2 linked regions of the Solanum lycopersicum genome follow. The protein of the gene in region 1 interacts with the protein of each later gene in a pairwise test. Links are inferred from orthologs where the notes say so. Each region holds a gene or a part of one and is shown on either strand. Other genes may lie near its edges.

Evidence for each region. The genes of interacting proteins can lie anywhere in the genome.
Region 2: the proteins of IAA19 (region 1) and ARF4 interact in a two-hybrid assay, tested with the Arabidopsis thaliana proteins (2 studies listed by BioGRID, with this or other methods). The link is inferred for Solanum lycopersicum from reciprocal best matches to the Arabidopsis thaliana genes IAA19 and ARF4.

The regions. Positions count from the first base shown.
Region 1 is NC_090802.1:65,646,076-65,650,150, reverse strand, and holds IAA19 (IAA19), read right to left. Parts: upstream 2,388-4,075; 5' UTR 2,342-2,387; coding exon 1,966-2,341; intron 1,785-1,965; coding exon 1,691-1,784; intron 1,061-1,690; coding exon 952-1,060; 3' UTR 769-951; downstream 1-768. UniProt on the Arabidopsis thaliana protein: Aux/IAA proteins are short-lived transcriptional factors that function as repressors of early auxin response genes at low auxin concentrations.
Region 2 is NC_090810.1:59,239,863-59,243,662, forward strand, and holds the end of ARF4 (auxin response factor 4), read right to left. Parts: intron 3,344-3,800; coding exon 3,178-3,343; intron 2,922-3,177; coding exon 2,179-2,921; intron 2,095-2,178; coding exon 1,904-2,094; intron 1,013-1,903; coding exon 829-1,012; 3' UTR 560-828; downstream 1-559. UniProt on the Arabidopsis thaliana protein: Auxin response factors (ARFs) are transcriptional factors that bind specifically to the DNA sequence 5'-TGTCTC-3' found in the auxin-responsive promoter elements (AuxREs). Could act as transcriptional activator or repressor.

The sequences.
Region 1 (4,075 bases):
TCCTATTTATTTTTGGAGCTCAATTAATTCAGATTCATATAGGTAAAATATCTTTTATTATATAATTTATATAAAAATGATTTCAGTTTCATAACTCAAATTTGAAATGTTTCTCTAAAAATAAATGAATATCTACCTTTTACGTGATTCATAGGTGATCTCTATGGTTAATTCTTATGAAGTTTTTTTTAGAATAATTACATATTCGCAACACATGATTTGATTGATAATTAATTTTTTTTTTTTGGATATTAATTTCGGTGGAAGTAAGAATTAGTCCGTGTGCATGTATTTCCACACTGAATACTGTGATATGTAGTGAAACAAAAGTATATTCATATGGTATATCACTGCTTTATTATCCCCCCAATAAAAATAAAAATTAAGGTTCATCAGTATTTAATGATCCAAGAAAAAAATACATTGGACTTATAAGTGTGTTGGAGTGATACAGGAATCTTTCCATTTTTACATAAGTATGCATGAATATGTATAGCTAATTAGTGTATGCTAATTGTCTACTCGATATTATATTGTTCACCTTAATCGAGTTATAGATATTTGATAAATCCAACTTCAACATGGTGAACAGATAAGGAAAAAACTAGCTAGAAAAAATAAATTTTTTTAAAAAAGATAAGGAAAATAGAAATACAAATAATGTAAAAAAAGAACTTTTTAGTAACGTGGACAATTGATATGAAATTGAAACAAAGGGAAAGTTAGATGGTAGCCACAATTTCAGCACAACATGTTGGTTACACATATAGCCTTATTATACATACGAAAATTGTCATTTAAGAGCAAATAAGGTACTGATTACTACAATAATTAAGCTAATTAAGAGGAAATCAAATCAGAAATTGATTTTAAGTCTAGGGTGTCTTATCACACCTAAGATTACAATTACAATTATATATTAATGTAAAAATATAGCTTGAATCATCCACTCTATTTCTCTTGAGACATTCCCTTGAGAAAGTCTCTTGCTCCAAGCCCTATCACTTTTGCCTCTGATCTCTTCATGATCCTTAGCCTTTTGCATGATTCACTGAACATTCTGCTAAATCAAATTCCAATTAATACGACTTCTTTTGATTTTTTCTAACACTACAAAATGTTTGATGAGTAACCGATCAAGGTTGTTATAGTGTGGTAGGTAGTAATTTATTCTTAACCAAGAGGTTTCAGATTTTAGTTGTCTTGGGTATAAAGCTGCCTTTGTTAGGAAGTTTTAACCTTCCTGGCACGAATCCCTATTTAATCGGGTTTCAATGTTCTAATTTATCGGCATAATGATGTTTTGATCTATGCCTTAAAAAGGACAAAATTGATCCATCAGTGAATATATGCTAGTTTAAATCACCTAAATTTGACTAAATTGGTCAATTTATGTACTATAAGCTAAATTTTACACCCCTTTTAACACATTAATTAGTTTAGTTTTACAATTAATTAAAGAAGATTCAATTAGGGATAAGGTGCCCGAGGGGCAGATCGCGTTAAAAAATTACTAATATATAAAATTTGAACTTTTTTTAACATAAGATTAGAGGTCGACTGAATTTAAAATTCAGTCGACAATTTCAAAATTCAAATCTCAAGTATTATATTAAATATGTTCCTAAATTAATAAAAATTCTGAATCTGTCGTCTCGAATAGAACATAAAGAGAAAGTGAAATACTTACATCCATGGAACATCGCCGACAAGCATCCAATCTCCATCTTTGTCTTCATAGATTGGAACGAACTCTGACTTATCTGCATCCTCCAATGCTTCTCCTGTTGACACATTTAAATACAAATTTAACATATATAACACTAGCAATTAAATTGCTTATATTTATGAAAAAGATGCTCGATTTATGTTTATTAGTATAGTACAGTAACCGTACATTTCAATAATAATAATTTCACTTTGCCTAAATAAATGCATGTTAATATAGAAAACTGAAATACTAACCAATTCCATAGCAATCAAAGAGTTTTTCAAGAGCCATAACAAGTTGATCATAACCCTTATGAGTACTCAAATCAACTTTCCTCAAAAACGGTGCTCCATCCATGCTAACTTTGACGTACATTTTATTATTGGATTCAGCTTCACGTCCGTTAAAACTGTTCTTTTTCCGGTAAGCACACACAGGAGGCCAACCAACAACTTCGTTCTTGTATTGACACTTGTAATTATTAGCCTCAACGTTGTTGTTGTTGTTGCTGCTGCTGCTGTTTCGATCACTAGTAGTAATTTCCGAATAAACCCTTTTCTTTTCATTTTTCTCCAATATTCCTCCTGGAAGTCCCAATCTTAGCTCAGTAATTTCCAATTCTGTTGCCATTTCGTATTATGTTTTGAAGACTGGAAAATTAATATATTGTTGTTTTGATGGAAAAAATGAGTGTGTGTGTTTATGAGTATATATAGGAAATAAATAATTGAGAAGACAATGGCAGGTAAACTAAACTTAATGGTCGGTCACATGAGATACAAAGGTAGGGAAAATATATATGTTAGGTATGTAATTTAAAACATTAATAATTTGTGGAGATTTACTTGTGACCGTTTGATATGGTTAACAAAAGACATGCCATGTGATGAAGTGTTCCCAATATGTTTGTAGACACATTAATATACGCGTGCAAATAAAGGTACATATATACATGTAATTATTTCGAGTTGGGATAAAATTTTTGCAAGTACGGATAAGGTATGTGTATATATTAATCTCTTCAGATTTTATATACGGGTTTATATTGGGTAACTTATGGATTGGCCGAATCAAGTTTGGTTTAAAAGCTATTTACGTGATTGACAATAGAATCTTGTTTAATAAGTGGAACGCAATAACTGTCCGCTATCAGGTTGGACAGTCAGGGTAGGAGAAGGGCAATGACTCATTCTTATAACCAGCGTTTTTAAGAACAAGAAGTCGGGCGGAAGGGGGAAAAGCCCTACGTTCCTGGTTCTCTTTATAGTTGAATCCAAGTCTCTTGCCACCTAAAACTCTGGCAAGAAAGCACTGCTTTACCTTTGATCCTATGTACCTTCTCTCTCATTAATTTTAAGAAATTTATTCGTACAAATTATAAATTTTGAAGTCAATAACTTGAAAAAAAACTAGAATTTCATATTCATAAGTACTTTAAATTATGATTTCGTCTCTAGCTAAACAAATCTTTTAATTGGACAAGAGCCTATTTGGGACTAAAATCAAACAGGAGGGCATAATTATTCTATTTCACTAGTTAAGGGGCAAATGTGACCTTTTGTCAAAACTAATACAGTTAAATTTAAGTTAAATTAAGTGTTATGTTTATTTCAAAAATTTTACATATATAGTCATGTATTTGAATTAGGATTGACAATTTCGAAACCAATGAATACACATATTTCTCTTGAAAAAAAATGATAGTTTACGAAAAAGAATACCATAATTTATTTATTTTTTTGTCTCCGTTATAATTTTCTAATACACGGACAATTAATTTTTTGAGGAACATATCCAATTATAATAGGGTATATGGATATTTGATTCTTGCAGAGAAGGCAAATTTCTGCGAGATAATATTATTATTTACACATATAATAAGTAGCATGTTATTAAAGGAATATAATTTCTCCAATTATAGACAATCAGTTTATACTACATTATAACAAGAAGATACCACGATGAGAATATTTTGCAATATTGGGACATAGAAATCTTACTTTGAATCCCTTAGATTAGAAATTAATACATAAATATAACTATTGTCTAGTCAATTATTTACAAATTATAGTTGGTCTTCTATCAAATATATAAATTCAACATTTTAATTAAGTAGACATTCTCTTGCATGTGCACGTATCTTATAATAATTGATACGACCGATTATTATTCAACTACAATATCATGTAATATTAACTAACAAATTTTACTTAATTCACATTGTTTGCAACAAATTTTAAACATATAGATAAATCACACAAATAAAATCAAAAGAAACATAATTTTATTAATCTAGATAGATTGCGGGTACAATTGTGTTAATCCCTTGATTCTACTCTCTTAAGATTTATTCATGATTCGAGG
Region 2 (3,800 bases), on another chromosome or scaffold:
TTATAGTACTTGTGACCTATTGCCACTACCAATGCAATCTAGGTAGTAGACCTTAGATGGCACTAAGTCACTAAAAACCAACTCCCCTTCCCCACAAATTTGTAATTAGAAAAACACTCTTTTCACAAAGTAGTGTTGTCTAGCCCAGATTTTCAATCCATAATACTCCTACTAAATAAAATATTTGACAAAATGGAATAATATAACCTTCTAAGATTAAGTAGGTAATATTTTTATTTACCAAACACAAGTACACAACTTGGTTTTGGTAGGTGGGCTCCACTTTTTCTTTTTTGGTGCGTTTGTGTCCAATCCGTTACATAGTTGTCTTAATTACATCGATCTTCAATTATATCCACCCAAGTATTCTTGGACTTGCCCTCTAAGTCGAGCTCAACATCTTTCTATCATGTACTTAGTTGTCTCAATATTACATTGATCTTAAACTATCATCACCAAGTATTCTTGCCCTCAACCTTTTGGTCAAGCACCACCTCGTGCGCGCTAGGTTCAAGCAACTGCATACCACTTTGGGGTGGGGGTTAGAAAGAAAGGGGTATTCATACAATGTTCAATATTATACATAGTGAAACATAATTAGAATTCAGAGTTATAATGACATATGAGTCACCACATAGTTTTCATCATACAAGCTCCCATTGTAGTTGATTACAGACTTCCAACATTTAACATAACATGTTAAGTGACAATAATTTATTAAACATAACAAGAACATGTAGTAGGTAGAGTACTATTATCATCACATATATCACTTAACATAGCATAAAAAAAGCATGAACATTCATAGGTACTCCATTCAAACTTTATTCAAATCCTGATTACAGTTGGAGATGAATCAGGCTGGCCAACTGAAGAAGACTTTGAGACATCCATGATTGCTGGTGCCTCCTCCAAACAACTTTGAGTGTCATCGCTGATCCCCTCAATAGTCATTTTCTCCACTTCTTCTTGAGTGTATATATGGATCTTGGATACTACCTCACAGAACTCACTGCGAAAAGTCATTTAGAAGGTACACAAGTTACTGATAAGCAAATCAATCTATTAAGGGAAATTATACTTTTTCGAACAACATATCCAACAAGTGTAATCCCACAAGTGAGGTCTGGGGAGGACAGTGTGTACAGACCCTTACTTTTTCCCTGAACCAAGATTTTGCTGCTCGGCAGAAGTTGCAAAATAACAAGTTCTAATTTAAGGTGTGTGGTATGAAGGAAAATGTTTTTTCCAGAAAATGCTTTCTTGAAAAAAAGTGTTTATTATTTATTTTCTTGTGTGTGATAAGTAGCTTTGTGTATAAATTCAAGGGAAACATTATGTGTGGTGGGAGTGGCGAGAATGGCGAGAATGGGGTGTGGGTGTGTTGGGAGGGTGGAATGGAGAAAATCAGTATGGTATGCTATTTTAGGAACTTGTTTTCCCTACTTCGACTAAGGAAGTCATTTTCCTCATATTTAAAGGACTTATTTACTTGAAGAAAATGTTCTCCAAATTTTTTGATCAATCAAAGACGGGAAAATTGAAGAACATTTTCTCAGAAGCATTTTTCCTCCATAATAAACACACATTGGAGGGTAAAGTGTATGCGGACCTTACCCCTACCTTGGAGGTAGAGAGGCTGTTTCCGATTGACCCTCAGCTCAAGGAAAGAAATTTATCTTAACCTGGGAGAAGAAAAGTAAAAGAATACTTAGATTTCAAGTGGAGGTTAGCTAATATCCAAAACTCCGATTTCTAGTGGAAGTCAGCTAATTGGAAGAGAAATTTGTGTGGTTCTAGTGATTCATATGCATTAATAAACCAAGAAGTAATATTTTTTGAATGTAGTATCAAACAATTGAGACAGTGATGAGAAACGGAGATGCATGAGAAAGAGACTTACTGCCATGGATCATCTCCGACAACCATCATGTCATTCTCACTGTCAGTGTACAAGATTCGCCACCCCTTGTTGGGATCTCTTAAGAGGTCTTCCATGTTGAAAAGCCTCTCCAACTCAACCAGCAAGTCGTCATAGCCATTCAATCTCGAGAGATCAATGGCTCGTCCAACCAAGCTGCCTTGTTTGTGAACCTTCACGCCATTTATTCAATATTAGCAATAGAGTCCAAAGAAAAAACAGTTCCAATTCGCTATGTGCAACTTATGGAAACTTACCTTAGTACAGCTCCTCTTACCAGAACTCTGCGAGCTAGGAGTAGATGGTTCTTTCGTCAAGGAAAAGCCAAACAGTTTACATGGAGCCTGTGCATTGAAGGAGTCGTCATTTTCATTCTTGAAATGGTTCTCTGGAATGGACACTTTAGACATCTCCGGTGGCCTCTGCTCATTTACAAACTTTGGCATTCCAACTTCTTCCCTCCTAACCACATTTTGGATTGAATTCTGGTTCAAGGTAGGATTTTCTCTTTGGAAATTAGTACTGTAGGAGGGAACCACGGGATCTTGTCCAGCTCTATACATCGCATTGTAAGGTAAAAACACATTCCTCGCCCCTTCAGAAGCGAGAGGATAGAAATTGGCTCTCGGCCTCTGATATGTGCCGAAAACATTGCAACCAAATTCAGGTTTTCCCCAAGCACCAAAATTAACATCACCTTTTCCAGTAAGGGATCTCAACGAGCAAATTTCTTGACCTTGCAAGACCTTTGGAAACCTATTGGATTCCAGAAAGCCTGTGTAGGTTGTTGGAGGCTGAGTTTTCACAAAGTCACCAACAATAATGTTCTCTACACCATTTGGCATGAGATTGTGACGAGCTACTCTTTGCAGCTCGAAATCCAGTGGGCGGACTGGTTTATCACAACCATAGGGAGGTGATATCAGACCTAAATTTTCTTGACCTTGCAAGACCTTGGAGGATCTTATTGACTCCTCAAAGTCTAAAAGAGCACTCCCTCCTGATAAAATAACAAAATCGGAATAAAAATGAACTTCAGTGGAATCACAACTTAATGAAAACACCAGCAACAACATACTCAGTGTAATCCCACACAGTGGGATCTGGGAGGGTAGTGTATACGTGTACGCAGACCTTCGTAGAGAGGCCTGTCTCCAACAGACCGTCGATTCAAGGATAAAAAAAGTCCAAACGCAGTACCCATACGACATAATGACAACATAATACAAAAGGATTTAGAAAAGTTAGATCAGTACCAGCAAAATGGCTGTCCAGTACTGATGGTGCCTGCTGACTAGTCCGCAGTTTCTTCAGTCTTGGTGAGGACTGAATGCTCAGTGGTGGTAAGGAAACTGAAGAATCAATTTCCCAAGGAGAAACCCGTTCCTGATGATTACTCATTATATCTTCATCCCATCTGACCTATTAAAGTTGATGACATAGGCACATATATCAAAAAGTTTATAAGTTGCTTAATAGGCCTTATACTTATTGTAACAGTTTTGTTTGGGAAGATAACTCAAAATATACAATAGGTGAATGTATTTAATTGTATTGCCGATAGCAAACTCTATTAGCCTTGACACGAAAAAATCAAGCAAGCAACTTATAACTAGCAAACTTTATCAGTCTTGACATGAAAAAGAAATCAATAAAGCATCTTACAACACCAGACCATTTAACAATTTCTCATCATATTTCAGTGAGAATAGTTTGATAATTCATGGCATGACCAATTTTTATGACCTGATCAAACAAACCAAAAAATATACGGTCCTTCCAGTGTTCCTAGAGGTATTCAACAAGCAGATTTACATGTTACAAGATCTCTAAGTAGAGCTGATCTAACTCACAAGGTAACACCGGCAGAAAATTCAAG